5 linked regions of the Macaca mulatta genome follow. The protein of the gene in region 1 interacts with the protein of each later gene in a pairwise test. Links are inferred from orthologs where the notes say so. Each region holds a gene or a part of one and is shown in the gene's direction. Other genes may lie near its edges.

Evidence for each region.
Region 2: the proteins of MAGEA4 (region 1) and UQCRB interact in binary tests that used the Homo sapiens proteins (3 or more experiments, as listed by UniProt). The two-hybrid records come from large-scale screens. The link is inferred for Macaca mulatta from reciprocal best matches to the Homo sapiens genes MAGEA4 and UQCRB.
Region 3: the proteins of MAGEA4 (region 1) and UBXN6 interact in binary tests that used the Homo sapiens proteins (3 or more experiments, as listed by UniProt). The two-hybrid records come from large-scale screens. The link is inferred for Macaca mulatta from reciprocal best matches to the Homo sapiens genes MAGEA4 and UBXN6.
Region 4: the proteins of MAGEA4 (region 1) and WBP2 interact in a two-hybrid assay, tested with the Homo sapiens proteins (2 studies listed by BioGRID). The two-hybrid records come from large-scale screens. The link is inferred for Macaca mulatta from reciprocal best matches to the Homo sapiens genes MAGEA4 and WBP2.
Region 5: the proteins of MAGEA4 (region 1) and TRIM69 interact in binary tests that used the Homo sapiens proteins (3 or more experiments, as listed by UniProt). The two-hybrid records come from large-scale screens. The link is inferred for Macaca mulatta from reciprocal best matches to the Homo sapiens genes MAGEA4 and TRIM69.

What each region holds. Positions count from the first base shown.
Region 1 is NC_133426.1:158,171,435-158,176,971, forward strand, and holds the end of MAGEA4 (melanoma-associated antigen 4), read left to right. Parts: intron 1-2,631; 5' UTR 2,632-2,704; intron 2,705-2,779; 5' UTR 2,780-2,844; coding exon 2,845-3,798; 3' UTR 3,799-3,949; downstream 3,950-5,537. UniProt on the Homo sapiens protein: Regulates cell proliferation through the inhibition of cell cycle arrest at the G1 phase. Also negatively regulates p53-mediated apoptosis.
Region 2 is NC_133413.1:106,635,018-106,641,422, reverse strand, and holds the start of UQCRB (cytochrome b-c1 complex subunit 7), read left to right. Parts: upstream 1-2,724; 5' UTR 2,725-2,731; coding exon 2,732-2,750; intron 2,751-5,424; coding exon 5,425-5,496; intron 5,497-6,405. UniProt on the Homo sapiens protein: Component of the ubiquinol-cytochrome c oxidoreductase, a multisubunit transmembrane complex that is part of the mitochondrial electron transport chain which drives oxidative phosphorylation.
Region 3 is NC_133424.1:5,283,712-5,289,629, reverse strand, and holds part of UBXN6 (UBX domain-containing protein 6), read left to right. Parts: intron 1-1,780; coding exon 1,781-1,944; intron 1,945-2,359; coding exon 2,360-2,424; intron 2,425-3,386; coding exon 3,387-3,515; coding exon of another isoform or gene 3,516-3,590; intron 3,591-5,918. UniProt on the Homo sapiens protein: May negatively regulate the ATPase activity of VCP, an ATP-driven segregase that associates with different cofactors to control a wide variety of cellular processes.
Region 4 is NC_133421.1:85,564,448-85,571,083, reverse strand, and holds the start of WBP2 (WW domain-binding protein 2), read left to right. Parts: upstream 1-2,569; 5' UTR 2,570-2,618; coding exon 2,619-2,677; intron 2,678-2,894; exon of another isoform or gene 2,895-3,247; coding exon of another isoform or gene 3,248-3,273; intron 3,274-6,216; coding exon 6,217-6,325; intron 6,326-6,636. UniProt on the Homo sapiens protein: Acts as a transcriptional coactivator of estrogen and progesterone receptors (ESR1 and PGR) upon hormone activation. In presence of estrogen, binds to ESR1-responsive promoters. Synergizes with YAP1 to enhance PGR activity.
Region 5 is NC_133412.1:22,145,306-22,151,899, forward strand, and holds the start of TRIM69 (E3 ubiquitin-protein ligase TRIM69), read left to right. Parts: upstream 1-2,140; 5' UTR 2,141-3,382; coding exon 3,383-3,388; intron 3,389-6,594.

The sequences.
Region 1 (5,537 bases):
ATTGGGAGTTAGAGAGAAGCGAGGTTCTCCTTAGGGGGAGCTTGACATCAGCAGAGAGAAGTGAGCCCAGGCTCTGAGGAGGCAAGGTGAGAGGCTGAGGGAGGTCTCAGAAGGGCCCCCCCCCCCGATAGAGGGCCCCAATTAATCCAGCACCATCCCTACTGCCAGCCCTGGACCACCCAGGAGGCCGACTTCTCAGGCTGGGCTGCTCCCCACCACCGCCCCTGTTGCAACCCGTTTGTTTAAGCCACAGGAGACTCTGGAGTCAGAGGTTGGTGTGATCAGGGCAGGGCTGGTTAGGAGAGGGCATGGCCCAGGATCTGCCAGGAATCAAAGTCAGAAACCTGAGAGGGAACTGAGGTCCCCCAAGATCCCACTCTAACCCCCATTCCCACAAATCCGCTACCACTTCGCTGCCCCATTTCCCATTCCTTGCCCTCCAACCTCACCAGGCAGAATCCAGTTCCCCTTCTGCTATCAATCCAGGGAAACCCCAGACTTGGTGCTGGGACGTTTTGGGGGTCAGAGAGAATCGAGGGCATGGTCCTGAGGGGATAATTGAGATTGACTGAGGAGAGCAGGCCCAAGCTCTGTGACGAGGCAAGGTGAGACTCTGATGAAGGAATGAGGAGGCCCCCACTCCAGATAGAGGACCCCAAACAATCGAGCTCAGCCCCTCCTGCCAGCCCTGGACCACCCGGGGGAAGACTCAGGCTAGGCCGTCCCAGCTCCCACTGCCACTAAAGCCACAGGGGACTCGAGTCACAGCTTGGTGTGCCCAAGGCAGGGCCCAGGCTCTGCCTGGCATCAGAATCAGGACCCTGAGAGGGAATTGAGGGACCTACATTCCCACCCCTTCCACATTCCAGCATCCCCCCACCATCCAGATCCTCAACCCCATCCCCAATTCCGTTTTGCAGAATCCATTTTTTCCCCTGCAGTCAACCGACGGAAGACCTGGGAATGATCAGGCACTCGGATCTTGATATCCACATCCAGGGCTGAAGGAGGGAAGGGACTTGGTATCATGAGCAGAGCCTCAGGGTAGCAGAGGGAGGACCCTGGCTCTCCTGGGAGACGAGGAAGGACTCAGGAGACCCAGCATCCCAAGGCAGGGAGCCCACCCCACCCCGTCTGAGAATGAGGTGCCTCCTCTTTTAGCCTCGGGAATCCAAGGGATGGTGACTCAGGTCAGCAGAGGGGTGGGTTCCAGCCCTTCCAGGATCAAGGAAAGGAAGACGAGGGAGGACTCAGGGGTCCTTGCATTCCAGATCAGTGGAGACCTGGGCCCTGGGAGGTCCTGAGCAAGGTAGCCACATGTAGCTCATGCTTCCTGCACCTTCAAGGTCACAGAGAGGAGAGGGCTATGGTCTGAGGATACCTGTGGCTCAGAAAGACGGGACCCCGCAGAGTCTGGCTGTCCCCTGTTCTTAGCTCGGGGGGACCAGAGCAGGGATGGCCTTATGTGCCAATCTTACTTGTACCATAGGCAGGAAGTTGGAGAACCTTCAGGAAGATGAGGTCTTGGAGTAAAGGGGCAATATCTGCTCATCTCAGGGGGTTGGGGGTTGAGGAAGGGCAGGCCCCGTTGGGAGCAAACATGAGTGACCCACAGGAGGCCATCAGAACCCTCACCCCAGGACCAAAGGGGTCAGCTGTGGACTCCCCGCACAGGGGTGACAGGATGTGGCTCCTCATTTCTGATTGCAGATCTCAGTGAGGTTAGGACCTTGTTCTCAGAGGGTTACTCAGGTCAACACAGACCTCTATCTGGTCAACAGACACAGTGGTCCCAGGATCTGCCAAGAGTCCTGGTGAGGAATGTGAGGGAAGATTGAGGGTACCACAGGGCCAGAACGCAGACGATGACTCCACAGAAATCAGCCTTGCTCCGGTTGTCACCCCAGAGAGCATGGGCTTGGCTGTCTGCTGAGGTCCCTCTCTTGTCCTGGGATCACTGATGTCACGGAGGGGGAGGCCTTGGTCTGAGGGGCTGCACCCAGGTCAGTAGAGGGAAGGTCCCAGGCTCTGCCAGGAGTTGAGGTGAGGACCAAGCAGGCTCCTCACCCAGGACACATGGGTTCCAATGAATTTTGACATCTCTTGCTGTCATTCTTCAGAGGACCTAGGCACATGTGGCCAGATGTGGGGCCCCTCATGTCCTGTTTCCTCTCAGGCATGTGAGTGCTTGATCTGAATTTCTCAGGCCAGCAAAACGGTGGAATCCAGGCCCTGCCTGGAGAAATGTGAGGGCCCTGAGTGACCACAGAGTGGACCATCCACTCTATGAGAGTGGGGACCTCACAGAGTCCAGCCTGCCCTCTTGATAGCACTGAGGGACTGGGGCTGTGCTTATAGTCGGCACCCTAAGGGCCCATGGATTCATCTCCTAGGAGCTCCAGGAACAAGGCAATGAGGCCTTGGTCTGAGACTTGTGTCCTCAAGTCACAGAGCAGAGGGTGCACAGGCTGTGCCAGCAGTGAATGTTTGCCCTGAATGCACACCAAGGGCCCCACTTGGCATAGGACACGTGGAACTTCAGAGAGTCTGACCTCACCTCCTGTTAGTCCTGCAGAATCGACCTCTGCTGGCCGGCTATACCCTGAGGTGCTCTCTCACTTCCTCCTTTAGGTTCTCAGGGGATAGGCCAACCCGGAGGACAGGATTCCTTGGAGATCACAGAGGAGCACCAAGGAGAAGATCTGTAAGTAAGCCTTTGTTAGAGCCTCCAAGATTCGGTTCTCAGCTGAGGCCTCTCACATGCTCCCTCTCTCCCCAGGCCTGTGGGTCCCCACTGCCCAGCTTTTGCCTACACTCCCACCTGCTGCCCTGACCAGAGTCATCATGTCTCTTGAGCAGAAGAGTCAGCACTGCAAGCCTGAGGAAGGCGTTGAGGCCCAAGAAGAGGCCCTGGGCCTAGTGGGTGCGCAGGCTCCTGCTACTGAGGAGAAGGAGGCTGCTGCCTCCTCCTCCTCTCCTCTGGTCCCTGGCACCCTGGAGGAAGTGCCTGCTGCTGGGTCAACAGGTCCTCCCCAGAGTCCTCAGGGAGCCTCCGCCTTACCCTCTACCGTCAACTTCACTTGCTGGAGGCAACCCAATGAGGGTTCCAGCAGCCAAGAAGAGGAGGGGCCAAGCACCTCTCCTGACCCAGAGTCCTTGTTCCGAGAAGCACTCAGTAAGAAGGTGGATGAGTTGGTTCATTTTCTGCTCCTCAAGTATCGAGCCAAGGAGCTGGTCACAAAGGCAGAAATGCTGGAGAGAGTCATCAAAAATTACAAGCACTGCTTTCCTGTGATCTTCGGCAAAGCCTCTGAGTCCCTGAAGATGATCTTTGGCATTGATGTGAAGGAAGTGGACCCCACCAGCAACACCTACACCCTTGTCACCTGCCTGGGCCTCTCCTACGATGGCCTGCTGGGTGGTAATCATATCTTTCCCAAGACAGGCCTCTTGATAATCGTCCTGGGCACTATCGCAATGGAGGGCGACTCTGCATCTGAGGAGGAAATCTGGGAGGAGCTGAGTGTGATGGATGTGTATGATGGGAGGGAGCACAGTGTCTATGGGGAGCCCAGGAAACTGCTCACCCAAGAGTGGGTGCAGGAGAACTACCTGGAGTACCGGAAGGTACCCGGCAGTGATCCTGCACGCTACGAGTTCCTGTGGGGTCCAAGGGCCCTGGCTGAAACCAGCTATGTGAAGGTCCTGGAGCATGTGGTCAGGGTCAATGCAAGAGTTCGCATTTCCTACCCATCCCTTCGTGAAGCAGCTTTGAGAGAGGAGGAAGAGGGAGTCTGAGCATGAGTTGCAGCCAGGGCCTGGGGCGGGGGTGGGGGGGTGGCGGCTGGGCTGGGCCAGTCATCTGCCCTGTGCAGCAGCTTCCCCTGCCTTGTGTAGCATGAGGCCCATTCTTCACTGTTTGAAGAGAGTAGTCAGCATTCTTAGTAGTGAGTTTCTGTTTTATTGGGTGACTTGGAGATTTATCTCTGTTTCCTTTTAGAATTGTTCAAATGTTCCTTTTAATGGATGGTTGAATGAACTTCAGCATCCAAGTTTATGAGTCGTAGTCACATATATTGCTGTTTATATAGTTTAGGTGTAAGAGTCTTGTTTTTTATTCAGATTGGGAAATCCATTCTATTTTGTAAATTGGGACATAATAACAGCAGTGGAGTAAGTATTTATTTAGAAATGTGAATTCACCGTAAGATATGTGAGATAAAGAAATTAAAAAATACTTAATTCCTGCCTTATACATACTCAGTCTACTCTGTAAAATTTAAAAAATATATACGCATACTTGGATTTCCTTGGCTTCTTCGTGAATGTAAGAAAAATTAAATCTGAATAAATAATTATCTGTGTTCACTGGCTCATTTCTTCTCTATGCACTGAGCATCTGCTCTGTGGAAGACCCAGGATTAGTAGTGGAGATACTAGGGTAAGCCAGACACACACCTACCCATAGGGTATTAGAATCTAGGAGCTGCAGTCATATAATTAAGGTGGCAAGATGTCCTCTAAGATGTAGAGGAAAAGTAAGAGGAGTGTGGGTATGGGGCTCCAGGTGAGAGTGGTCGAGTGTAAATTCCCTGTGTGGGGCCTTTTGGGCTTTGGGAAACTGCATTTTCTTCTGAGGGATCTGATTGTAATGAAGCCTGGTGGGTCAAGGGCCAGATCCTCAGAGGGAGAGGGAAAAGCCCAGATTGGAAAAGTGCTCTGAGCAGTTCCTTTTTGACAGTGGATGAACAGAGAAGCCTCTACCTGGGGCGGGAATGGAAGGTGTCTTGTGAACACAGTGCATGAGCTAGGTGATGGGCACCCATTATTTGCAAGGGTTTCCTGTGAGATAAACTTGTGTCTCCCCAAAAGGGAGACCCAGAAGCCACTGGCCAGGTGCTTTTCTACCTGGCTGGGAGAACCAGAACTGACTATTAAAAAGGCATTCTAACTAGGTTATCTTAAGTGCAATGTGACCAATTGTAAGCAGGGGCTAGATTTTGGGTGGTAACAATGAAAATAGTGGTATGGATGGAAAAGCAGCTGGGAGCGAGGGAAGCAGTTGGTCTTTGACTCAAATTCTAGGAGCTTTGAGCTGCATCTGGCTGGGGAAATCTCCCACACACCCAAATTTTGAGGCACATTCTCTAAGTGATAATTCTTACTGAATTTTATGGATGAAACTTCCTTATTTGGCTAATGATTCCATGCCCTATTGAGTTGGATATTCTCTGATCAGTCTTGAAGAACAATGACAACAAAATCCCAGAATGCTAGGGTCTGGGGTCAAACAATATCAGAAATACCAGCTATCTGCCATTCCTTAAACTTCTAATTTAATTCCAGGCCCTGAGCCAGGTGCTTCACCTACATTGCACACACTCCAATAGTCCTACTAGACAGGGCTTATCACATCTGCTTAAAAGAGAAGAATTCAAGGCTCACAGGGCTTGTGAATTGGGACATAATAACAGAGTATTTCCTGGATATCCCCAGGATCATGTGGCTAGTAAGGAACAGGGCTGGAACCAGACCCC
Region 2 (6,405 bases), on another chromosome or scaffold:
GAGTGTGACATAGATAGGTGCTTTCATGGAGTTCGCCAATGGATGAGATCAACAAACAGGAAACAATAAAAAATAAGCTGGGGACACCATGGAACCATCCTGTCCTCTCTTTGTATGGCTCACAACCGCATTTTGCCTTTATGAATAACCCACTGAACAACCTTAGAATAGGCAAGTTGTGCTGATACAATGAACAATCCTAAAACCTCAAATGATTGAAAAACCACAAAAGGTTTTTATCTTATACATGTCTCTTAGGACCACAAAGGCTCTGCTCCACATCATCTTTAGTGATACAGGTTGATGTATCCTGTCTCCATCATTTCTGGAGTGTTACCAGTCTATGGAAAAGGAAAGGAATGTGAAGAATTGCTCTTAAAGAGTTATCACATTTTTCTTGGCTAAAGTATCACATGGCCATGCCTAACTTTGAGGGCAGAGAAAGGCAATCCCTAATCCTGTGCTGGGAGGAAAGAAAACCAAAATTAGTTTTTGAATCAACATTAATGACTACCAGCAAACATTCAGTCTCTAGCTTAATTCCTTAGGAGCTGGATTTTGTGACAATTTTGGGTTTCTGATTTTTTGATATGTCTTTTCTTGTCACCTTCACCTGTAACCAGCAAGTAAAACGTAAAGGGTAGAAGGGAGGAGAGTTTATTGAGTACCTACCCTCTGCAGGGCAATGTGCCAATGTACATATGTATTGCATTTCTTCACATCTTTCAGACTTCACTTTGGCTAGTGTAAGATAGAAGAGATCATTCATCAGCTTTAGTGCTGCATACAGGACTGACTAATAGAAGAATTGTAGCAGCATGGAGATAAAAGAAAAAGGAAAATCAATAGAATCTTAGAACTGGAATGTGACTAAGATCATTAAATCTAACCTTTTGAACTTACGACGAGACAAGGTTCTATTCTATATTGTCCCAGCTCTGAGCTTAAAACTGAGGGGAAAAAAGATATCACCGAGTAATGGTAGAAGTTCACCAGTAACTATCAGTCATGCCAGTTCCCCCCAATTGTTTTCTGTCTCTAGATGTTTATGCCTAAGACTTCACATGTTGGGGCTGAGACCTTAATAGTTAGCAAATCTATATACTTTTGTCTTTAAATTATGTGCAAATTCTGCAATACATCTTAGATTTAATCTTTAAAAACCTTTTCTTCTGGGCGTGATGGCTCACACCTGTAATCCAGTATTTTGGGAGGCCGACGTGGGTGCATCACTTGAGGTCAAGAGTTTGATACCAGCCTGGCCAACACGGTGAAACCCTGTCTCTACTAAAAATACAAAAATTAGCGAGCATGGTGGCATGTACACCTGTAGTCTCAGCTACTCAGGAGGCTGAGGCACGAATCGTTTGAACCCTGGAGGCAGAAGTTGCAGTGAGCCAAGATTGTGCCATTCAGCCTGGGTGATAGAGGCTGAACAACAAAAAAAGAGGTGACCAAAAAAAAAAAAAAAAAAAAAAACCAACCAACCAACCAAACGAAAAACCCAAAACCTTTCTGACCTAACCTTCCACTAAAATAGCTAGATGTAGATCTTCAGCTGGAGAAACCCAAGGCCTGAAAGGCTTGGTGTCTTTCCTGGATTAGTAGTGTAGCATATGGCCCTAGAATTAAGGAGCCCTAAGTTTGCGTCTGGATTTTCAGATTCTGGAAGAAGAACCTGGACTCTTCTAGTCATGTCCTCTTGGACAAGTTATTCAACCTTTCTGAGCTTCAGCTTTCTCCTATCTACAATGAGATAATGACAGTACTTTTAGAATTAAATGACAGTGTAGGGGAGTGAGAGATCACGCCTTTGCTCTTATGTGGGCTCTTTGGTTGGATCTAGGAACCAAATTGACACAAGGCAGATTAACAAGAGAAAAGCATACTAATTTTACTAGTTTTACATGTTTTACATGTGCATGGGGATCCTCACAAGAGAGTGAAGTGGCCAATGTAAGATGCCTTTATACTTTTTACACGAACTACAAATCAGAAGAAAGGGGATCTGGCTAGGGGCAGTGAATTTCTTGCGGAGTCATTAGGAGAAACGTGGGTGTGGTGGGGTGTAAACTTAGTGGAAGATAAGGGTTATTTCGGAAAGTATATTCAGGTCCAAAGCAGCTCCCAGTTTCCAGTCTCTGGTGATGGGTGCTATTTTCTCCCTCTGGTAAGGGACGGGTACTCCGGAGGAATCCTGGAGGAAACTTTACGGCTTGCTGCATGCAGGAAGAGATGGGTCATCAAACCCTTTCTGAAACTACAATTTCTCCAACATTTTCAACTCCAAATAATCAGTGTACCAATTCCATATATTTTTGGGATGGCGCATCCATCAGTCCTTCAATAGAAAATAAAACGATGCCCTTAAAACATTTAGCTTCCTGCCTGGCACAAAGAGCTGAATTCATACTGCCCACGCTCTCATAGCTATTAACAGCAAGTAACAGAACCCAGCTTTAAGCCTCGGTCTCCTAATTCCTGACCTGTGTTCTTCCCATCACATCACAACCAATACTTCTTGGAATGTAGCACGCAAAACGCCCCGCCTACTCCATTGGCCTCACCCTGGCCGAGAAGTGCACACGCAAGAGCTCAACGACAGCCGTCAGAACTGCGCCTGCGCAAGCGGCGTTTCTCGGTTCGCGATGTGGCGTAACGCGCCTGCGGACTGGGCCCAGCGTGTCCTCTATGACTTACCCAGAAGGCAACGTTTCATTTTCTGGTCAAAATGGCTGGCAAGCAGGCGGGTAAGTGACTGGGGAGTCTTCTTGGCGGGCATCGTCGCGCTCCACCGTTTATTTTCGCTGCAGCTCACTCCGTTTTCTCTCTTCTTTGTAAGTCACCAAGTTTGTCGCGGAAGGGAAAGTGGCGGCTTCAGTCCAGCCAAAAGGACGTGCTTCCCCACTCGTTTGTTGTTCCCAGGCCGGGCTTGCCTATATAGGGTTGGGGTGTTAACCCGCTGTTTGTGAAGGTGCCCGCGGTGGCTCTAACAGCCCTGGAGTTCCAGCTGCCTGTGCTCGGAAGTCCTTCCCCTCGGCCTTAGAAAAGTTAAAGGTCACAAGAAGATAACTAGTGGATGACTTTCAACCAGAATGAGCTCAGTGCTTTCTTCTATGACCCAGGTGCTCTATCGTGTGCATTGGCCCTATAAATTCTCCTGCCAGTGCCACGAGGGAGATATTAATTTCCCGTTTACGCTGATAAGACAACTGAGGCAAAGTGACCCAAGGAAGTAGAATTGGAAATTTCATTGCACCCCTCGCGCTTCTCAAACTGTGAATCAGAGACAGTCTAGCAAGGGATACGAGCGACGCTTCACATTAACCTTGGATTATCTAGAACGTCAGCTTGATCAGTAGGTTTGGAGAAATTTGAATTTATTGTAGGTTCAAACAAATTTATTGTGGAATAGAATGCAGATATTACTGGAATATTTAAAACAACTTGAACATTAAGTTGGGTTTCCTTGTTTTTTTGTTTTGTTTTTTTTTTTGCTAATCTCTGCCCTCTGGCGGTACAAGTTGGAGTATCTTTTTTTTTTTTTTTTTTTTTTTTCTTTTGAGAAGGAGTCTTGCTTTGTCGCCCAGGCTGGAGTGCAGTGGCACAATCTCGTCTCACTGCAATGCAACCAAGTTGGAGTAGCTTTTAAAAAATATTGATCCTTTTCTCCCTGACCCCAGCAATTGTGAAGCTGTTAGGAAACATCAGGTTGCCAGAAACATCCGCTAACCTAATTGACATTGAGCTTTTTGGGGGTGGGGGAGACTTTTTAAATAATTATTTTATTAATTTAGCAGATATTGAAGGAGTCTTACTAAATTCAAGACACTGATTCTGTGCGTGTTTGGGATCTACATAGACCAGATCTCAACTCCCATTAGCTAACTGACCTTGGGTGGGATCACTTCTGTAAGTCTGCTTCCCTTGCTGTAGTAAGAGGCATGTAAATAAATCAGCTAATGTTGGTAAAGCAAATAGGAAAGTGTTTGGTGCACAATAAGTGTTTAGTGAATATTATTCTAGTCACTGATAGGTGGTTAAAAATAATCTGTCTTCCACAAGTATGTTTGTAGATTGTTGACTGATACTTGTTTTTCTGGCAGCAGTTTTATACATGACTTCATTTCCAAGGAGATGTGCTGAAGCCACGTAATCTGTAGTGCACTGAGTTTGCAGGCAAGGAGGGCTGAGTGAAAGGAGAGTTTGCTTTCCTTCCTTGGTAAGGGGCTAACGCTAGACAAAATTTTAAAAGAAAATGTAAACTTGTTCTACCTCCCCTTTTGTAAAACGTCTCTCCTAAAATGTCAGGTACGGTCCTGCTGTACTTGGACCCTGCTGGGTTACTTCATCAGACTCAGCCCTGTTCCCCAAAGAATTTTATTTATTTATTTTTTTTTTTTGTTTGTTTGTTTGTTTTTGAGACGGAGTCTGGCTCTGTCCCCCAGGCTGGAGTGCAGTGGCCGGATCTCAGCTCACTGCAAGCCCCGCCTCCCGGGTTCACGCCATTCTCCTGCCTCAGCCTCCCGAGTAGCTGGGACTACAGGCGCCCGCCACCTCGCCCGGCTAATTTTTTTTGTATTTTAGTAGAGACAGGGTTTCACTGTGTTAGCCAGGATGGTCTCGATCTCCTGAACTCGTGATCCGCCCGTCTCGGCCTCCCAAAGTGCTGGGATTACAGGCTTGAGCCACCGCGCCCGGCAAGAATTTTAAAATTACCCATTTCTCATCCGTTTTCAATACCTATTCCCTTGGGGGGAACTTAGTTGCTTAGGAGGAGGTAAATGGACTTCTTTTACTAATCCATATTAATGTTTAAATGACTAATGGTATCAAAATCCTCCCCAAAATACATATATTTTTAAAGAATGTAGCCAAATGAAATAACTGTAATGTCGAGTAAAATTTTTACAGGATGAGGGTCATTTAGACCTGCCAGCCTATGCTGAAATCTCACTCTCTTTTCATACAACTCCAGCTCCTTTGAAATGAAAAGTTTACAATTATTTCCTGTGATCTATTTATGAAACTACAAATGATAGAAATTTCCAAGTCCTTTTCCTATCTCTCACCCCTTCATTTCTGAAGGTAACAGGGCAGGCATAAGGGCACACGATGTACCTATGGATCTTTTGTACATTCAATGTTTGAGTTTACCCTCTTCTTCCATGACTTGCCACCATTTTCCTGCAGCCACTTTTGCTCATAAATAAAATAAGCAATTTTTATCAACAGTTTATAAACTTTTTTCTTTTAAATCTAATTCTTTTTTGATTAAATTCTTGCTGTATATAGTATATACTTTTAAAAGGAAATTTCTTTCTATGTTTGCATTCATCAGCAAGATAACTGAGTACTGGTTGCTTGCCCATCAGTGTGTTCATATAGTATAATTGTAGCAACTAACAGTGTGACAATGATCAGTTTCAGCATCAGGCAAGTGGCTGGATGGTATTCGAAAATGGTATTACAATGCTGCAGGATTCAATAAACTGGGTAAGCATCTGTGCTTTTTAATTTTTCTTTTTTTTCTGAGAGTATTGCTTTTACAAGTGTTACTGTGGTTCCAAAAAATATTTCAGTTCTTGTATACATCAGAAGATGTTAAAATTAAATCACATTATGTTAAATCCAGTTCCTTTTTAAAATTTTTTTGAGAGGAGAGGGATGAAAGCCTCTAAAATGTTTGACTTGGTAATGATTTAAGTAGTAAGACATTTTCCTTCTACACCCCTTCTCCCAACTCTACCACTTAAAATTTTATTTATTTATTTGGGACAGAGTCTTGCTCTGTCACCAGGCTGGAGTGCAGTGGCGCAATCTCAGTTCACTGCAACCTCCGCCTCCCGGGCTCAAGTGATTCTCCTGCCTCAGCCTCCTGAGTAGGTGGGATTACAGGCGTGTGCCACCATGCCTGGCTAATTTTTTTTGTATGTAGTAGAGACAGGGTTTCACCATGTTAGGCTGGTGGCGAGCTCCTGACCTCAGGTGATCCACCTGCCTCTGCCTTCCAAAGTGCTGGGATTACAGGTATGCGCCAGTGCGCCCAGCATTCCACTTAAAATTTTAAGTTTTATAAACACTGAAAGTAGAGATTTTTCAAATATTAAAATTTTATCATATCCATGCGATCATATGTTTCCTAAGCTTTTTTAGAACTTTGTAATTTGCCATGAACTTCATCTTTTGCTATTGAAGCTTGAAGAAAGTGTAAGCAAAAGTCACTGGTTCCTTAGTATACTATTATTTTAAGATTCATTAATACCTTGATCTCAGATTTAAACTATGAGAAAGTAGAGATGTGGTTTATTAATGTGTGTTTAAAAACAAAGTAAACATTTAAAATATTTTGTAAATGGTTTAGATAAAATATGAATTTTGTGGCATTGGATTTTAAGAGGCTCA
Region 3 (5,918 bases), on another chromosome or scaffold:
GCTGAGGTTGCAGAAGGGTCCCTGTGGCTGCCCAGGGCGGGCAGGGTCCATGACCGGTTGGGGTGAGGTGCCCTGGGAAATGCCATTTTGTTGGAAAGACCTAGATATCGGATGGGGCTGGGATGGGTCTTCATGAGTCATCTCCTCTTCCACCCAAGATGCTGCGCTGTGGGAGGACTAGATAGGCAGGGGTGGGCACGAAGCTAAGCCTCGAGACGAGGAGGGAGGGCTGCCCGAGTATCTAAGCAGAGCCAGAGGAGTACAGGGCTTGAACTGAGAGCCTGGCCTCCAGGAAGTTTTAAGAGACTTACGACATGGAAAGTGACACAGTCCCTGGATTCACGGGAGGGGCCCGAGAGGACACAGGCGAGACAGACGCGTCCGAGCAGGTTGGCAGAAAGGGCTTCTCTGCCAGGCCACTGTGCCAAGTGGATTATGGAACCCTCCTTGGTGTAGGGCTCAACAGGGCGGAACCGCGAGTCCATGAGCTCTTGGTACTTGCACAGCCCCGGGCCTGGCATGGAGTGGCCAGGGCGAGGCTGGTTCTGCTGTCCGCTGACCCCAGGGTCCTGCCACAAGGGTGGTGTGGCATGGGGCACATTGCCCGGACTTCCTGACCCTCTTGGGTTTGGGAACGGGATGGTGAGGCCTCCCTGGCAGCTTGTTAGGAGGAGTCAACCAACCAAGCCGACCGGCTCCCAGCAGGGGCCCAGCACACAGTAGGTGCTCAGCAAACGAAGCTGTGACCTGAGGGTGGAGACTCTCACAGCAGGGAGTGGGGGAGGATGTGGCATCCCTTGAGTCTCCTCAATTCCTGAGGATGTGGGCTGGGTGCTGTGGCTCATGCCTGTAGTCCCAGCAGTTTGGGAGGCCCTGGTGGGAGGATCATTTGAGGCCAAGAGTTCGAGACCAGCCTGAGCTACACAGCGAGACCCTGTCTCGATAGAAAAATTAGTCATGCGTGGCCGGGCGCGGTGGCTCAAGCCTGTAATCCCAGCACTTTGGGAGGCCGAGACGGGCGTATCACAAGGTCAGGAGATCGAGACCAGCCTGGCTAAATACGGTGAAACCCCGTCTCTACTAAAAAATACAAAAAACTAGCCGGGTGAGGTGGTGGGCGCCTGTAGTCCCAGCTACTCGGGAGGCTGAGGCAGGAGAATGGCGTAGACCCGGGAGGCGGAGCTTGCAGTGAGCTGAGATGCGGCCACTGCACTCCAGCCTGGGCGACAGAGCGAGACTCCGTCTCAAAAAAAAAAAAAAGAAAAATTAGCCATGCGTGATGATGCTTGCCTCCAAGTCCCAGCTACTCGGGAGGCTGAGGCGGGAGGATTCCTTGAGCCTGGGAACTCAGGGTTGCAGTGAGCCGTGATCGTGCCATTGTACTCCAGCATGGGTGACAGAGCAAGACCCTGTCTCAAAAAGAAAAAAAAAAAGGCCCTGAGGATATCAAGGTGCCTTCGCCTCGGGAGGGGTGCTGCCACCCCATTTTACAAACGAGGATGCTGAGGCCCAGTGGGGCAGGACTTGCCCTGTGGTGCAGAACTGAGCGGAACCAGCATCTCCTTCCTCCAGGGGCTCTTCCGCTTGCAGAAGAACCATCTGGTGGCTGCGGGTGGCCCCTGGGAAGCAGGCGTCCTGGCCCGCATAGGCAGGGACACGTCTGACTGGTGGTGCTGGTGGCAGGAGCTGGGGAGCAGCAGAAGCTCCCCTGTGTGACCGCACGTCAGGTTTGCCGGCCACCTCAGGAGGATACACTCGCTCTCCCTCGGTCTGTCCCCAGGGAAAAGGCCCCCAAACAGAAGTCCAGCCAGCCGGCCCCGAGGCCGCCCCGCCAGGGACCCACCAATGAGGCACAGATGGCGGCCGCTGCCGCCCTGGCCCGGCTGGAGCAGAAGCAGTCCCGGGCCTGGGGCCCCACGTCGCAGGACAGCATCCGAAACCAGGGTGAGATGTGGCCCGCCCCGGGCCCAGGTCGGGGCTGTTTGAGGTTCCCAGCCTTAGTGCCTGGCCCTGGACGCAGAAGTCCAGGGCCTGGAAGCAGCTGTGGGGGTGTGAGGGTCACCCTTGGGAGCGACTCACCAAGGGCAGGTGCTGGGGGAAGGGCAGCTTCCTGGGGAGCGGGTGGGAGCAGAGACTTGGAGCAGAAACAGGGACTGCGCAGGCAGTGGGGTGCTGGCTCAGGCTGAGGGGTGGGTGCAGAGCGAGTCCTGCAGGGGACCTCCAGCCTGACCTCCAGCAGCAGCAGGCTGGGGTGTTGTGCATGGCTCACGGGCCCACCCCAGGAATGAGGGGGCTCGGGCCAGGACAGAGGCGTGCTCACCACCCTGGCTCTGCTTCTCCTTCTTGGGCTGCCTTCCAGTGAGAAAGGAACTTCAAGCCGAAGCCACCGTCAGCGGGAGCCCCGAGGCCCCAGGGACCAACGTGGTAAGAACAGCCACTGGTGGCACTGTCCCACGCTGAGGGGTGGGGACAGCTTGACTTCTTCATGGGGGAGATGTGGCCACTGCCCTTGGGGCTCCAGGGTGGTTAGGAAACCTTGCCCTGCAAGGTGGAGGCGGGTTGTGGTGGAACATGGTGTTGTCCGGACCTTCGGGGCTCGGCAGCTGAGGATGCTGGCTCAGGCCTGGAGAAGTGGGCCTCAGGTACATAAGCCCATCGCTCCTTCCCCTTAACCCGTTAAGGTGGATGCAGTTACAGTTCTCACTTTTCAGAAAGAGAACCGGGGTTGAGAGAGGTCAAACCAGCTGTCCTCTCTCCTATTCCCCCAGAACCAGCAAAGACAGGACTGGCTAGTCTGTGGCTTCAGAGCCTGTCCCCTACCACTGCCTGCTCCTGCCTGGCTTGGAGGTCAAGGGGCTCCGTGGAGACGGGTGGAATCAGGGAGGCCTTCCTGTAGGAGGTGGGCCTTGAGAGCTCTGCTGAAAGGAGTTCTAAGCAGCTTGATCCTCGAGGATTCAGTGAATTTTAGCACGCAGGGACCTTAGAGATGGCCTAGAAACGGAGGCCCAAAAGTCAGGCCTTGTCCAGGGCACTGTGCCCACGGACTCCCACACAGAGCTCCTTCCTCACCAGCTTGGGGACAGGACCAGCAGGAGCCCAGCTGCCGTCTGCTGAGTGCTTCCTGCGTGTCAGAAGCTGCTCCGTGCTTTCCTTTCCTTACCTTGTTTAGTTCTGAATAGGCCCCACAGGGACATTTGACATACCAGGGAACAGGCTGAGGGATCCAGTCACTTGGCCAGGGTGTCTCCCATGGCCACCAAGTGGAAGGGACAGCATGGGGGCTAGAGATGTCTGGTTCTGCGGGCCACACTCAGGACTGTGGTGCTCGGCGAGGCTCGGGGTGGCTTCTGTCCACAGTCCAGACTCGGACACTTTCACCGCCCCAGGTATCTGAGCCCAGAGAGGAAGGCTCTGCCCACCTGGCCGTGCCTGGTGTGTACTTCACCTGTCCGCTCACTGGGGCCACCCTGAGGAAGGACCAGCGGGACGCCCGCATCAAGGAAGCCATTCTTTCGGTGAGTGGCGCCCCGTGTGCTCCTGCCCCAACCTGTAGCTTCCTGTGCCTGCGCCACCCCCCATCGGAAGCCCAGGTGGTACAGGTCCCTCCCAGAGTCCCCAGAGCCCACTGCTGGTAGTGAAGTCCCTCTTCTGATACCCCGAATCCAGGCACACCATTGTGTATGCATCCGTATCTCCTCTCTCCCAGCTAGGTTTGTCTTTCTTTTTGAGATGGAGTCTCACTCTGTCACCCAGGCTGGAGTGCAGTGGTGCATTCTCGGCTCACTACAACCTCTGCCTCCTGGATTCAAACGATTCTCGTGCCTCAGCCTCCCAAGTAGCTGGGATTACAGGTGCCTGCCACCACGCCCAGCTAATTTTTGTATTTTTAGTAGAGATGGGGTTTTACCATGTTGACCATGCTGGTCTCGAACTTTTGCCTCAAGTGACCCACCCGCCTCAGCCTCCCAAAGTGCTGGGATAACAGGTGTGATCCACCGTGCCTGGCCTGGTTTTGTTTTTCATAAAAGGTTATGTATTATTTGCTTCAGTACAGAAAGAACTTCCGACAAAATTAGCCGGGTGTGGTGGCATATGCCTGCAATCCCAGCTACTCGGGAGGCTGAGGCAAAAGAATTGCTTGAATCTGGGAGGCGGAGGTTGTGGTGAGCTGAGATCGTGCCATTGCACTCCAGCCTGGGCAACAAGAGCGAAACTCGGTCTCAAAAAACAAAAAACAAACAAACAAAAGAACAAAAATAACTTCCACAGCATCTTTTTTCCCCTAATACAGCAAGTCCTCACTTAACACCATCAATAGGTTCTCAGAAACCTCGGCTTTAGCCTGGGCAACATGGCAAAACCCTGTCTCTACCAAAAACAAAAACAGAAACAAATTAGTTGGGCATGCTGCTGTGTACCTGTAGTCCTTGCTACTCAGAAGGCCAAGGTAGGAGGATTGCTTGAGCCTGGGAGGTGGAGGCTGCAGTGAGCCGTGATCAGGCCACTGCACACCAGCCTGGGTGATATGTGAGACCCTTTCTCAAAAAGTTTTTTTTTTTTTTTTTTTTTTTTTTTTGAGACGGAGTCTCACGCTGTTGCCCAGGCTGGAGTGCAGTGGCGCGATCTCAGCTCACTGCAAGCTCCGCCTCCCGGGTTCCCGCCATTCTCCTGCCTCAGCCTCCTGAGTAGCTGGGACTACAGGCGCCCGCCACCGCGCCCGGCTAATTTTTTTTTGTATTTTTTAGTAGAGACGGGGTTTCACTGTGGTCTCGATCTCCTGACCTTGTGATCCGCCCGCCTCGGCCTCCCAAAGTGCTGGGATTACAGGCTTGAGCCACCGCGCCCGGCCTCAAAAAGTAATAACAGTGGCCAGGCGCGGTGGCTCACGCCTGTAATCCCAGCACTTTGGGAGGCCGAGGCGGGTGGATCACCTGAGGTCAGAAGTTCAAGACCAGCCTGGTCAACATAGTGAAACCCCGTATCTACTAAACATACAAAAATTAGCCAGGCATGGTGACAGGCGCCTGTATCCCAGCTACTCGGGAGGCTGCGGCAGGATAATCACTTGAACCCCGGAGGCAGAGGTTGCCGTGAGCCGAGATCGTGCCATTGAGCTCCAGCCTGGGCACTGGGCGACAAGAGCAAAACTTCGTCTAAAAAAAAAAATAGTAACAGTTCCATGGAGACTCTCCAGACTCACACCTACTCCAGCAGTGTGTGCGAAAGCACCCGTGTCCCCATCCTCTCACCGTACTGTAAATCACCAAACTTTGATCTTTACCCCTATTGACAAGTGAAAATAACATCCCAGGATAGATTTAATTTACACTTTCCTTATTTTAGGTTGGGTTGGCCATGTTTCATATGAAAATGCATCCTTTGTACATTATTAGATAGTTTGTCTTTTTCTTAGTGATTTGTAGGCACTCTTTATATATTAGGCAATTCAGGCTTTTGCCTATGATATGAGTTGCACATATTTCCCTCTAGTTGCTCATATGCTGGCTCTGCTTATGGTCGCTTTGCTGCGTAGGATTTTTTGATCTCTGTATAATTAAATGTGTCAGTCTTATTTCATGGCTTTTGGGTTTGGGGCTATTCTTAGAAATGCTTTACCCACTTCCATGCTGAGAGAATTCTTTTGTGGCCTCTCCAGGGTTATTTTATTTTATTTTTTTGAGACAGAGTCTTGCTCTGTCACTAGGCTGGAGTACAGTGGTGCAATCTCGGCTCACCGCAACCTCCGCTTCCCGGGTTCAAGGGATTCTCCTGCCTCAGCCTCCCAAGTAGCTAGGACTACAGGTGCCCGCCACCACGCCCGGCTGACTTTTGTATTTTTAGTAGAGATGGGGTTTCACCATGTTGGCCAGAATGGTCTCGATCTCCTGACCTCGTGATCCACCCGCCTCGGCCTCCCA
Region 4 (6,636 bases), on another chromosome or scaffold:
TGAAAAAGAGAGCTGGAGACAGGCAGACAGGGGTAAAAGACCAGAGGAGAGGTCTGAGTACTGAGACCTAGGCCTGGGGGGCCTGCAGCTGCTCACCTGGTTCCGCAATAAACGATTGTTAAATCCTTCGGTTTGAGTTTTGAGTTCTGGTACCTTCCAGCCCCAAAGTCATGGGAGCTGTCCAAGAAGTGTGTTCACATGGTCATATGTTTTTATAAAACTTAGAACTTCTGGACATTGTAGCCGAAGCTGGTCAAGCTCGTTATCTCTCCACTGCAACTTCCTCTTCTTGTCATTTCCCCTCCTGTCAGGAGGCCTCATTGTGGCCACAGTATTGTGAATGAATAATCGTGGGGTTTTTTGTTTGTTTCTGAGATAGAGTTTTGTTCTTGTTGCCCAGGCTGGAGTGCAGTGGCTTGATCTCAGCTCACTGCAACCTCCGTCTCCGGGGTTCAAGTGATTCTCCTGCCTCAGCCTCCTGAGTAGCTGGGATTACAGGTGACCACCATCACACCCAGCTAATTTTTTGTATTTTTAGTAGAGATGGGGTTTCACCATGTTGCCCAGGCTGGTCTCAAACTCCTGACCTCAGGTGATCCACCCGCCTTGGCCTCCCAAAGTGCTGGAATGACAGGCATGTGCCACAAACTCTGACCTACTTTTGTTTTTTTAATTTATATTTTAAATGCACATAGAAAAAAAAAAAAAAACTAAACAGTACCAAAAAGTACAATGCATACCGACATACTGAGCCACCAATCCACCCCAAATTCCCAGACCCACGCCTCAAAACTGTCACAGACATTTTCTGGTGGATCTTTGCAAAAAATTTCTATCTAGATCCTATTTTTTAATACAAATAGAACTATATGTATACAGCATTCTGTGCTTAATAACCCTTGACAATCTTTCCATATCAGCACATAGTCTGACTTTTTTTTTTTTTTTTTTTTTTTGAGACGGAGTCTCACTCTGTTGCCTAGGCTGGAGTGCAGTGGCGCAATCCCGGATCACTGCAAGCTCCACCTCCTGGGTTCACGCCATTCTCCTGCCTCAGCCTCCCGAGTAGCTGGGACTACAGGCGCCCGCCACCACGCCCGTCTAATTTTTTGTATTTTTTAGTAGAGACGGGGTTTCACCGTGTTAGCCAGGATGGTCTCAATCTTCTGACCTCACCATCCACCCGCCTCGGCCTCCCAAAGTGCTGGGATTACAGGCGTGAGCCACCGCGCCCGGCCGACTTAATTCTTTTTAAAGACGGCAGAGATTGCAGACCCCAAAATACATCTAACCATTGGGGCAGATTTCATTACGACCATCCTTAATCCACTGTACTTGTCCTGCAAGGTCCAACCTGGTATTGCACCGGACCTCACAGAACGCTGCTGTTTCCTGATCTTTTCTAGTGAGGCAGCTTTATTTCTTCACATAGGAGACCTCCCTGCTAAGCGAAGTCGAACAGGTGGATCTAGAGGTTGACCACCACGGTCAGGAAAGCAGCTGTCTACTGAAAAGCAAACTCTAATTCCTTAAGATTAACGAGTTAATCTTTAAGATTAATTAATCTTAACGAATTAATCCTTAAGATTAACCCCTGCACCACCAAGTGGGGGAGTACAGCCCCCTCTCTCCGCCTCATGGATTCAGCTCGGAGGTGCAGGGGTTTGGTGGGGGGCGGTTAGGGAATGACAGCTGCCCCGTGGAGGACGCCCAGGGCTGGGTCACGAGCTGGCATGAGTCAGTCTTATTTTGTAAGTCCTAGTTATCAGGCTGCCAGTCTCGCGCCGTGCCCAGTCTCACTCAGCCTTCAGTCTTCCGGCCGGGACCCCGCTGGGCGCTCCGGAGGGATCGGCGCCACCGCGAGGCCGGCGAGGAGGCTGCAAGGGGCGCCCGGCCGGCCTGCGAAAGTGGTGGGAGCCAGGAGGGGCACACAGCCTCCCCTCCCCAGGCGGGACTCTCCCCGCCCCCCGGGCTCAGGGCTTGGGGTGGTGAGATGGGTGGCTGGGTGATCCGACGCCGCCAGCCCACCGCGTCCCCAAGAGCCGGGGTCTCGGGCTCAGCTAAACTCCCCGGAGTCACACAAGCGCCCCATACACGTCTGCTGAGTGAACGAAGGCTGCCCATCCACCAGGGGACTGCTCGGCCCTCCCACGCCATGTCCAGGTCGCATTCGGCCAGCGGGACTTCCCTTAACGCTCGGCCGGGGTCCCCAGGCTCGCGCCCCTGACAGCAGCCAAACTGTTTATTTCCGTCCGGCTGAAGAGGCGGGGTGGAGATGGCACAAGCCGATTGGTTATGTAAATTGTGGAGCCAATTTCGGCCTATGAGCCAGGAGACTACAAGTTCCAGAATGCATCCTTCCTCCAGCACAGGGAGAGGCCGAGGCTGCGGGAGCGTTGCCTGCTGGGAATTGTAGTCTTCATCTTGTTTGTTACGCAGGTGGAACTGGGGGGAGGGAGTAAACTATTACCACGTGACGTTCGGGTCAGGTGGTTGGGCCAGCCTCCGCGCTCGAGCTGTGACTGGCTGACTCTAATAAGAAGACGCCACTAGGGGCGGGGCGAAGAGGGGCGCAAGCTCACTGCGTTTTGAGTCTCGGGACCCCTGTCGGAGAGACTATGGCGCTCAACAAGAATCACTCGGAGGGCGGCGGAGTGATCGTCAACAACACCGAGAGGTGAAAACACTGCGGAAGGATCCTAGAGGACCAAAGTTCGGGTGTCGAGGGAGTGGGGGGTGGGCGATGGGCGGTGGGGAATAAGCCCCTGAAGGGGGAGCATTGATGGAGTATGGTTGGGGGGGAATGGCTGGGGGCGGGGTTGGAGGAAGGTGGGTGGGCCGTGGGGGAGGGCCCGGGAGGTTGTGATCAGCTGGGAGGTGGGAGTGGGACGTCTGCTTGGGGACCTGGCATGGGGCGACCGGTGGGGCCTAGGGGTGATTCTTGAACCCGTTCCCAGAGTTTTGACTTCAGTAACTGGGAGGAGCCCCAAACAAAAATAATTGTCACTTATTGGATGTCTACAACGTTACTACGTGTCAGGCTCTGCGCCTTTTCTACCTTATTTAATAAATTCTGTGCAGTACAATCTACTACTGTCCACGTTTCACAGGTAGGGAAAGTGGGGGGCAGAAAGGTTAAGTAACTTGCTCGAGATTGCAACTCTGTAAGTAACAGAGATGGAATTCCAGGAAAGGAGTCTTGACTCCAAAGTTAATAGGATTAACCACCAGCATACAGGCTTCCAGTATGTTCCAGAACTGTTCAGGTTCCAGGTAAGAAACTGAGGTCCCAGGAGTGAAATTAAACAGATGACGTTTGTCAGATGTCTCACAGTTCCTGGCACTGTGTGGATCCGTAAAGTCATTCCCTTGCCTCTCTCTTGAATGCCTGTTGGTTTGAGTCTCCTCCGAAGGCACAGGTCTCCTAATTCAAGGTTCTTTCCACTCCACCCTCCCCACCCCTTGCTCATTGCATCCTGTCTCTCCTCCAGTCTCTGCCAAGAGAAGCCCTGAATGGCCTCTCTCTCCTTTTGTTCCGTGGGTATTGAAAATCAGACCAGCCAGCTCTGGGTTGAACTATGCCGACCCTGAATTGCCTCTTGAAGGCAGAAGGAGCTTAGGAGGCACCTGAGTCCCCAAAGGAGACATTGTGGAGTCAGAGCCCTGTACCCAGCTAAGGCCAGCATCCAGTTGCCCTGTGACTTGGGAATGTTATGATGAGTCAGAGGAAAATGCCTAGAGTGACCCAGCAGGCTCACTTTCCCTCTATCTTACCTACTCAGAGTCTGATGGGTAATTCCTTCTTTTCTCTGAGTGGTACTTCTCTTTTTTTTTTGAGATGGAGGCTTGCTCTGTCACCCAGGCTGGAGTGCAGTGGCACGATCTCAGTTCACTGCAGTTCACGATCTCAGTTCACTCAGTTCACCGCCTCCTGGGTTCAAGCAATTATCCTGCCTCAGCCTCCCCGGTAACTGGGATTACAGGCACTTGCCACTACACCCAGCTAATTTTTTGTATTTTTACTAGAAACAGGAGTTCACCATGTTGGCCAGGCTGGTCTCGAACTCCTGACCTCGTGATCCGCCCTCCTTGGCCTCCAAAAGTATTGGGATTACAGGAATGAGTCACCGTGCCCGACCACTTCTCTTTTCTTAGACCAGTTGTTTCCCACTTACCTTTCCCCAGTCTGAGAAAGTTGTGATATCTGGGGGGAGGCAGAAGACAAACAGAACCGTGTGAACCTTTTTATCATGTGATCAGAGACACCTCACATTGTCTTGTTGCATCTCTGTGTGTGAGTCAGTTCCCAGGCCTGGCCAGCTTTTCATGCCATTTGGCAACATCTCTGGGGACTGTTTTTCTTTCTGTCTCTGTGGAACTTCCTGAGACAAGAATGTATCTATCCTGCTGGGCCTTCTACCTGGCTTAGGGCTCAGGCCTGCTAAGTAAGGTGTGCCTTGTTTTAGAAAGTGCTTCAGCCTCCTGTCTGAATAAGTTGTGTCTGTAACAATTGAAGTATAAGTCCAGTGTTCAAAATTTGATAATTAGGCTGAGCATGGTGGCTCATGCCTGTAATCCTAGCACTTTGGGTGGCCGAGGTAGGTAGATCACTTGAGGTCAGGAGTTTGAAACCCACCTGACCAACATGGTGAAACCCCGTCTCTACTAAATACAAAAAATCAGCCGGGCGTGGTGACGCATGCCTGTAACCCCAGCTATGTGGGAGGCTGAGGCAGGAGAATTGCTTGAACCCAGGAGGTAGAGGTTGCAGTAAGCCGAGATCATGCCGCAGCACTCCAGCCTGGGCAACAAGAGTGAAACTCCGTCTCATAAAAAAGAAAAAAAAAATGATAATTAAACTAGTGAACGTTACTCTTCAAGTCCTGAACTCCTTTGAGAATGATGGAAGCTGTGGACTCTCCGCTCAGAAAAATGCACATATGACGTACATGATCATCTCAAGGGCTTCATGGACTTTCCTGCAAACCCAGCTGAAGAACCCAGGTTTGAAAGAACCTTGAAGGAGGTCCTATTGTGATCTGTACAGTCATCTCTTAGATATGTTTATATGTTAGGGTTGAAAAACAAACCAGCAAAAACAGAGCATCTGTCAAAAGGACTTAAAAGAGAATAGAAAAGTTAAGCCAGATCACCTCACCTACTTGAGGGATGGCGGCCTCTCTAGAGCCCTGTAACTCTGCTACCACGTTGATCATTTGGGGGCTGTGTAAGCGGGGTTTGGGAAATTTTACAGAACCCCAACGTGCTCGTTTCTTCCATGGCTGCATTAATGGGGTTTTTTCTTGGTGGTGGTGGTGGTTTTTAGTTTTTTTGTAGAGACGGGGTCTCGCCACGTTACCCAGGCTGGTCTCAAACTCCTGGGCTCAAGCGATCCACCAGCCTCAGCCTCCCAAAGTGCTTGGATTACAGGTGTGGGCCACCGCTCCTAGCCCTATGAATGGCTTTATTAATTTATTTGTTTTTGAGACAGAGCTTCTCTCTCTCTCTCTTTTTTTTTTGAGATGGAGTTTCGCTCTTGTTGCCCAGGCTGGAGTGCAATGGCACGATCTCGGCTCACCGCAACCTCTGCCTCCCGGGTTCAAGCGATTCTCCTGCCTCGGCCTCCCTAATAGCTGGGATTACAGACGCCCACCACCACGCCCAGCTAATTTTGTACTTTTTTAGTAGAGACAGGGTTTCTCCATGTTGGTCAGGCTGGTCTTGAACTCCTGACCTCAGGTGATCCGCCCGCTTCAGCCTCTCAAAGTGCTGGGATTACAGGCATGAGCCACCGTGCCCGGCTGGAGCTTCTCTCTTGTTGCCCAGGCTGGAGTGCAATGGTGCCATCTTGGCTCACTGCAACTTCCGCCTCCTGGGTTCAAGCAATTCTCCCTCCTCAGCCTCCTGAGTAGCTGGGATTATGGGGGCCCGCCACGACTAATGTTTTGGTATTTTTAGTAGAGATGGGGTTTCACCGTGTTGGCCAGGCTGTTCTCAAACTCTTGACCTTGTGATCCACCTGCCTCGGCCTCCCAAAGTGCTGGGATACAGGTGTGAGCCACCGTGCCCGGCCCTATGAATGGTTTTAATGCAGTACTGTTGAGAGGTTATGAGAGCTGATGTGCCGGGCAGCTGCTTGGGAGAAAGGCCCAGTGTCTGGGTGACATCGCATCTCCATACTGTCTCATCAAGGCTTTTCCTCTTTTCTCATCACAGCATCCTAATGTCCTATGATCATGTGGAACTCACATTCAATGACATGAAGAACGTGCCAGAAGCCTTCAAAGGGACCAAGAAAGGCACCGTCTACCTTACCCCTTACCGGGTGAGTTGCCCAGCAGGACAGTTGGTTGAGAGGCTTGTTGCTGTTGGAGGTGACGTGAGTCTTAGTCTCGGGTCCGCCTCAGCCTCATGAGTCAAGTGGCCTCTGAACCCTGGTGAATGTTAGTGCCTCACTCTGCCTGTTTCTCCGTCACATGCTCCTGGATTCCAGAACCACCAGGCTCTTTGTGTAACTGACCTGACCACTGGGCAGTGAACCCATGTAAATTCCAGAGCCGCTGCTGCAAAACCTCTATAGAGTTGGATGCAGCGCTGGCATGACTTGGGCCTGGAGGCCAGAGACTATTATTATTA
Region 5 (6,594 bases), on another chromosome or scaffold:
ACCGTGCCCAGCCACTTTCTCTTGATAAGAAGACCACTGACTATGGGCTGGCTCTGGCCAGTTTACAGAGGCTAAGCACTCTTGTTCCTTCCTGTCCTGAACAGGCATTTTGACTTATAGGGCCTAATTGTCATGCATTTAAATGTTAAGTCTCCACCTTAGGCCTGGCACGGTGGCTCATGCCTGTAATCCCAGCACTTTGGGAGGCTGAGGTGGGTGAATCACTTGAGGTCAGGAGTTCGAGACCAGCCTGACCAACATGGCAAAACCCCGTCTCTACTAAAAATACAAAAATTAGCCAAGTGTGGTGGTGCACGCCTGTAATCCCAGCTACTCGGGAGGCTGAGGAAGGAGAATCATTTGAACCTGGGAGGCAGAGGTTGCAGTGAGCTGAGATGGCACCACTGCACTCCAGCTTGGGTGCAGAGCAAGACTGTCATGAAAAACAAAACAAAAAAAGAGTTAAGTCTGTACCTCAAAGTGAACATGGGTTGTATGTTACATGCATGTTTGTTCAATAAGCATGAGTCAGGATGACCTTCATGATTATTCATGACTCCTCCTGTAACCTGTTGAATATGTACGTTTAGCCAACCTGTTCAGCATCAAGTTCCTACCCCAACCCCTCCTCCTTTGAAGTGCCCGTCTCTAGTCTTTGCCAGAGATTGTACTTCCTGGCCTGTGGGATGGCCACCTTGCAGGCCTTTAACCCTTTATAAGAAATAAAGTCTCCTCTCCAAATTTCTGGATGTTGTGAGTTCTAAGTTAACAAAGTAAAGAGAAGGAATTTGGGAGACTGACAACTTTGCAAACCAGAGCCACGATAGAAGTTTGAACTTTTACTTAAGAGAGAAATAAATGTCATTCTTGCTTAAGCAACTTTTATAGTGGGTATATTAGTCGGGTTGACATATAAAATTAACCATCACTCTGGGTCTCGTTTACAGTAATAGAATTTTTTTATTTTTTTTATTTTTTGAGACAAGGTCTTACTCTGTTAACCATGCTGGAGTGCAGGGGTGTGATCATGGCTTACTGCAGCCTTGACCTCCTAGGCACAAATGATCCTCCCACTTCAGCCTCCTGAGTAGCTGGGACCACAGACACTGGCTAATTTTTAAATTTTTTGTAGGGACAGGGTCTTGCCATCTTGCCCAGACTGGTCTTGAACTCCTGGGCTCAGGTGATCCTCCCACCTTGGCCTCCCAAAGTGCTGAGATTACAGGCGTGAGCCATCATGCCTGGACACTGTTTTTAAATAGTGAAAAAAAGGACTTGAAGTACTATTTGTGAAGATTGAGACCTCTTGCTACATAGGATTTGGAATCACAGGCTTCTAGAGATGGAAGAGGTCTTAGGAATTCACATTTTAAAGAAGGAGGAACTGATACCCATAGGAGTTAAATGTCTTAGCTAAGGCTACCCAGTGCTCTGGTGAGGGACAAGGTTTCCACCTTCTAGGCCAGTACTCTTACCCCTAGGCAAAAGGTTCAAGAATGTGCAGGCGCCAAGCTTTAGTAAAATCAGCTATACTAAGCATTGTCAAATGTTTTAGCCAACAGCAAAAATAATCAAGATGAAACAAAATTACTTTTTTGATTAAGTGATCACCAGCATTTCATAGACATTTATTTGACAAAGGTTTTGATCCAACAAATGCCATGTACTGTCAAGGTGAGCAAGACAGAGTACTACCTACCCTGCGGTTGTTCACAACTTAGTGGAGGGGCAGACATGCAATCAAATATTAGAATACACTCTGTTAAAGCCACATGTACAAAGATCTAGAGTGCTATAGAAATGTGTAAAGCTAGGCCAGGCATGGTGTTGCTCACACCTGTAATCCTAGCACTTTGGGAGGCTGAGGTGGGAAGACAGTTTGAGCTCAGGAATTTGAGATAAGCCTGGGCAACATAGTGAGACCCTGTCAGAAAGAAAGAAGGGGAGAAAGAGAGAGAAAGAGAGAGAGAGAAAGAGGAGACAGAGAGAAAGAAAGGAAGAAAGATAGGAAGAGAGAAAGAAAAAAGAAAAAACAAAGAAAGGAAAGAGAAAAAGAAAGAAAAAAGGAAGAAAGAAAGGAAGAGAGAAAGAAAAAAGAGAATGGGAGAGAAAGAGAAAGAAAAAAAGAAAGGAAGAAAGAGAAAAAGGAAGGAAGGAAGGAAGGAAAGAAGGAAGGAAGGAAGGAAAGCTGTGTTTCTCAACTGAGGAATGATTCCAACCCTGACCCCAGGAGACATTTGGCAATGTCTGGAGACATTTTTGTTATGACTGGAGAGGAAGGGGGTGGCTACAGGCAACTAGTGTGTAAACGCCAGGGATACGGCTAAATATCCTAAAATTCACAGGACAGCCCCTCTGACTTAAAAGACTTAACAGGCCCAAAATATCAATAGGGCTGAGGTTGCTAACCTCTGGTATAGAGCCAGCAAAATATCTTCTAGAAGAGACAGGGAAGTGGGTAAAGCTTGGTTTGGGGATGAGGGAGTGGTTAGGGAAGAGTTTAGTAAAGAGATAAAGACGGGGGTGTAGGGGAAGGGAAACTCCCAGCCGAAGGGATAACATGTACAAAGCTGCAGAAGAGTGGCAATCCCAAACATCCGGGAAAGAGCTGTGGTCATTAAGGCTGGACTGCTAGGCAGGAGCCAGACGTGTAAGAAATCATATTGAGTTAGAGGAATTACTGTAAGAAAAACTGTTTGGCTCTATGGTGGCTCTTTATAAGTCACGCAGGAGCATAGTGCTGGGACATCTCTCTGTGGGCGAAAACTGCTGAAGAAAGCTGTATGAAAGAAAGCTCATCCTGCTTTCTTAGGGCCTGGTGTTTTCCAGGCCTGTGTTACTGTCTCAGAGACAAAGTCAGGGCTGCTTCACTGGAATATGAGAGGTGAACTAGCTCTCTATTAAAGCCACTCAGCGAGTGTCTTGATGGTGTGATGGGATCACGAACAGGGGTGAGGTGGTTATTTTCATGAGTTAGGCTTAATATAGGCTGCTGCTGACGTGTATTTCCTCTTTCATAGAGCATCCCTAGTCCAGAAATGGGGAGCTATGAACCTTAAGATTAGACTACCAGTTTGAATCTAAATGAGCTGCCCTCTTCTCCTACAAAAGAAAAGTTGGGCAGGTAGGGTATTGTAATGAGGGTTTCTCTTTCTCTTAAGCAAATGATGATCAAAGCAACTGACAAACTGTCACGGAATCTGCCAGACCTCACTCTGGCCTTGCTGCTTCTCTCCAGCTCCTGAACTTTTCTTCCTTTTGTCATGCTCTGAGCCCATTCCTTGAAAACTAACAGGTCCCTGACTTCTGGTCTGCAGACATCCTGGGCCTGCTGAGCTCTGATTCAAGTGCCTGCCTCTGCCCCTTGGTAGGCTGAAGCTTCATGGAGGTGAGTGATCCTTTTTTTACTTAGCAGGGCTTCTAGGAATAGTGTGGAAAACAGGATCATAGAAGAGGATATGGATTTGGGAGCACAAAAGGAAATTAATGAAGAGAAGTATTTAACTTGTGACAGCTGGTAGCTACTATACTCTCTCCAGGCCTTGGAATAACTGATAATTTAGACTAGAGAAGCTGGTAGGAAACTAATGAAATCCATCAAAACATTTTGAGAAAAATTAAATCACATACTATACAAAATTTGCCTTCATTATCAATGTAATCATTTTGTTTTAGATTTAAAAATTATTATGTATAACTTGGATTTCTTACAATACCTTCACATTTGATTATTTTGTATTTAAGGCAGAGTCGATACTCAGATAGTAAACATTTTTAATTGAATTCCTTCCTTTAAGACCTCTTCAGAGCTAAAACAAAGGAAGTTATATTCTTCTCAACTTAGTGTTTTCCTGATTGTTAGACAGACAAAAGAAAATGCTTATTTACTACATGAAAGCTTGAAAAACTCACTAAAATTCATCGACAAGAGATGTTGACACAGGGGCCCTTGAATCCTGAGTTATTATCCATTTCCACCAGTTTCCACTTCTTATAAAGTTTAATTTCATTATATTAATCATTAAGATCAGTTTCTAATTTCCTCTATCATAGGACCTTTAGGTTTGCTGTTACTCATCTCTGTCCTCAGCTATTGAAGCAAACAGGGCGATAAGCATTTTGTTTATAATTTCTAGGGGAAAAATAAACACTATTGCCTATACCTACTATATTCTTATTACTTTAAGGCCAAGTCAGTGAAAATAGACACTTTTCCATAATAGTAAAAAAAACCTGTTTGTGTGATAGTGAGCTTCCCATTACTTCAGACGTTCAGGCAGAGGTTGGAAAGGAGTGAATTAAATGGCTTAAAATTTCTTTCAACTCTGAGAAGCTCCGAGAAGTCGGAAAGTTCAGAATCTTTCCTTCTGATGTGAAAATGGCATGACTTGTGAAGCAGGAGTGTGTCTTGCTCTTAGGTTTGGGCTGGCTGTGCCATATCGTTTGTCTCTGTGGAGGAATTGTATTTTTTTGCTCTCAAAGTTAATTATTCATAAAATCTGCCCATCAAAGTTTAAAAATTACTTTGAAGGAATAAAGGTTGAAAAGCAAATGAACTCTCCTTAGATATCTTAACCATGATTTCAAAAGTTTACAACACAAAACTTCTCAGGAAAAAAATGTCTCTGGTAGAAATTAAGGATTTCTTATGCAAGCTTCCAAAGACTTCATAGCTCTAATCTTTGCCTTTTCTCTGCTCTTTGAGAATATACACAGTGAACCAAAGGAGGAAGAGATGTTCTTTCTTTGTTTTTTTTTTTAAAGACAGAGTCTCACTCTGTTGCCCAGGCTAGAGTGCAGTGGCACCATCTCAACTCACTGCAACCTCCGCCTCCAGGGTTCAAGTGATTCTCATGCCTCAGCCTCCCGAATAGCTGGGACTACAGGGGTACACCACCACTCCTGGCTAATTTTTTTTTTTTTTTTTTTTTTTTAGTAGCGATAGGGTCTCACCATGTTACCCAGGCTTGTCTTGAACTCCTGACCTCAGGTGATCCTCCTGCCTCGGCCTCCCACAGTGCTAAGATTACAGGCCTGGGCCATTGCGCCCTGCTGATGTGCTTTCTTATAAAGTGATTCCTGCCAGCTGCGGCTTTATAAGGATGAATATCAATTCCTGACTCGAGTTTCTCTCTCTCCGCCTTAAGGTTAGACTTCCCCTAAAAGGGGCTGGCAGTAGATGTGCTTCCTAAAAGATTTCCAGGTCCAGAAATTTTAGAATCTCCTTTGGTTTCCAATTCTATGTCTCCCTCTAGCGCAATAGGAAGTTATTGCAGATATTTTGCCTCACAAATTTGATCCATTTAATAAATTCAATTCCACAAAACATATTGATGGGCTTCCTGCTGACTCAATGGTTAATAGGCTTTGGGGTCAAATAAAGAGTTCAAATCTGGGACTCACTACTTAATAATTGTGACTCTGGCAAGATACTTTAAACAATCTAAGCTTCAGTTTCCTTAAATATGTGGTAATAATACCTATCTCATAGGTTGTTCTGAGATTAAATGAAATGATGTATGTAAAGCCTCTTCCACAGTGAGTGCTCAGCAAATATTAGCTAATATAATTAATCTCTTGTTTTACAGAAAAGGATATATTATTGAAAGCCAGGGCAATTGGCACACCTTCAGCTAGCAAGATGAATTAACCATATAAAAAATCAATCAATCATATAATATCAACAATTAATAACATGAAATATATTTTCATATCATAAAATTAACCCTTTTGAAGTTTACAATTCAGTGGTTTTAGTATATTCACAAAGTTGTACAATTATCACCCCTATCTAATTCCAGAACATTTTCATTACCCCCAAAAGAAATTCCATACCCATTATCAGTCACTTCCCATTCCTCTTTGCCCCGCTTTGGTAACCACTATATAATTTAAATATACTTTAAAAACGCATTGAATAAAATTCCTGAGTGATATCCACCTTCAAAAGACACTACATTCACTAGGATTACAAACTGATGCTGGTATGTATTCCTTCTCCTAGATTACCTTCAAGTGGCCAGATTCTTCTATACGTTTTATCTTATTCAGAATGTATCTCTTTTTAAAGTTTTTGAGACAGCTCTGACTGGCTTAAAATGCAGTCTTTTTTTGAACTTGTGTATTTCCTGATAGGCATATTTTTCTGGGTTTGGTCTTCTTTTTCATTTATAAAAATAGAGACAGGATCTCACTATGTTTCCCAGGTTGGTCTCAAACTCCTGGCCTCAAGCAATCCTCCTGACTCAGCCTCCCAAAGTGGTAGGATTATAGGTATGAGCCACCATACCCTGCCCTAGATTTGGTCTTCTAAGCACATATTGAGGAGGTGGAAAATAAATAGACATTTTTCTCTTCCCTTCCACAGAATTGCCCATTCAGCCTAGTACAAAGAATGAAGTCTTCTTCTTTTTAAAGCTTTTATTATCTTTTCGTTAATGTACTTTATTTTTTTTGAGACGGAGTCTCGCTCTATCCCCCAGGCTGGAGTGCAGTGGAAGCTGCTCCTTCTGGGTTCACGCCATTCTCCTGCCTCAGCCTCCCAAGTAGCTGGGACTACAGGTGCCACCACCACACTCGGCTAATTTTTTGTAT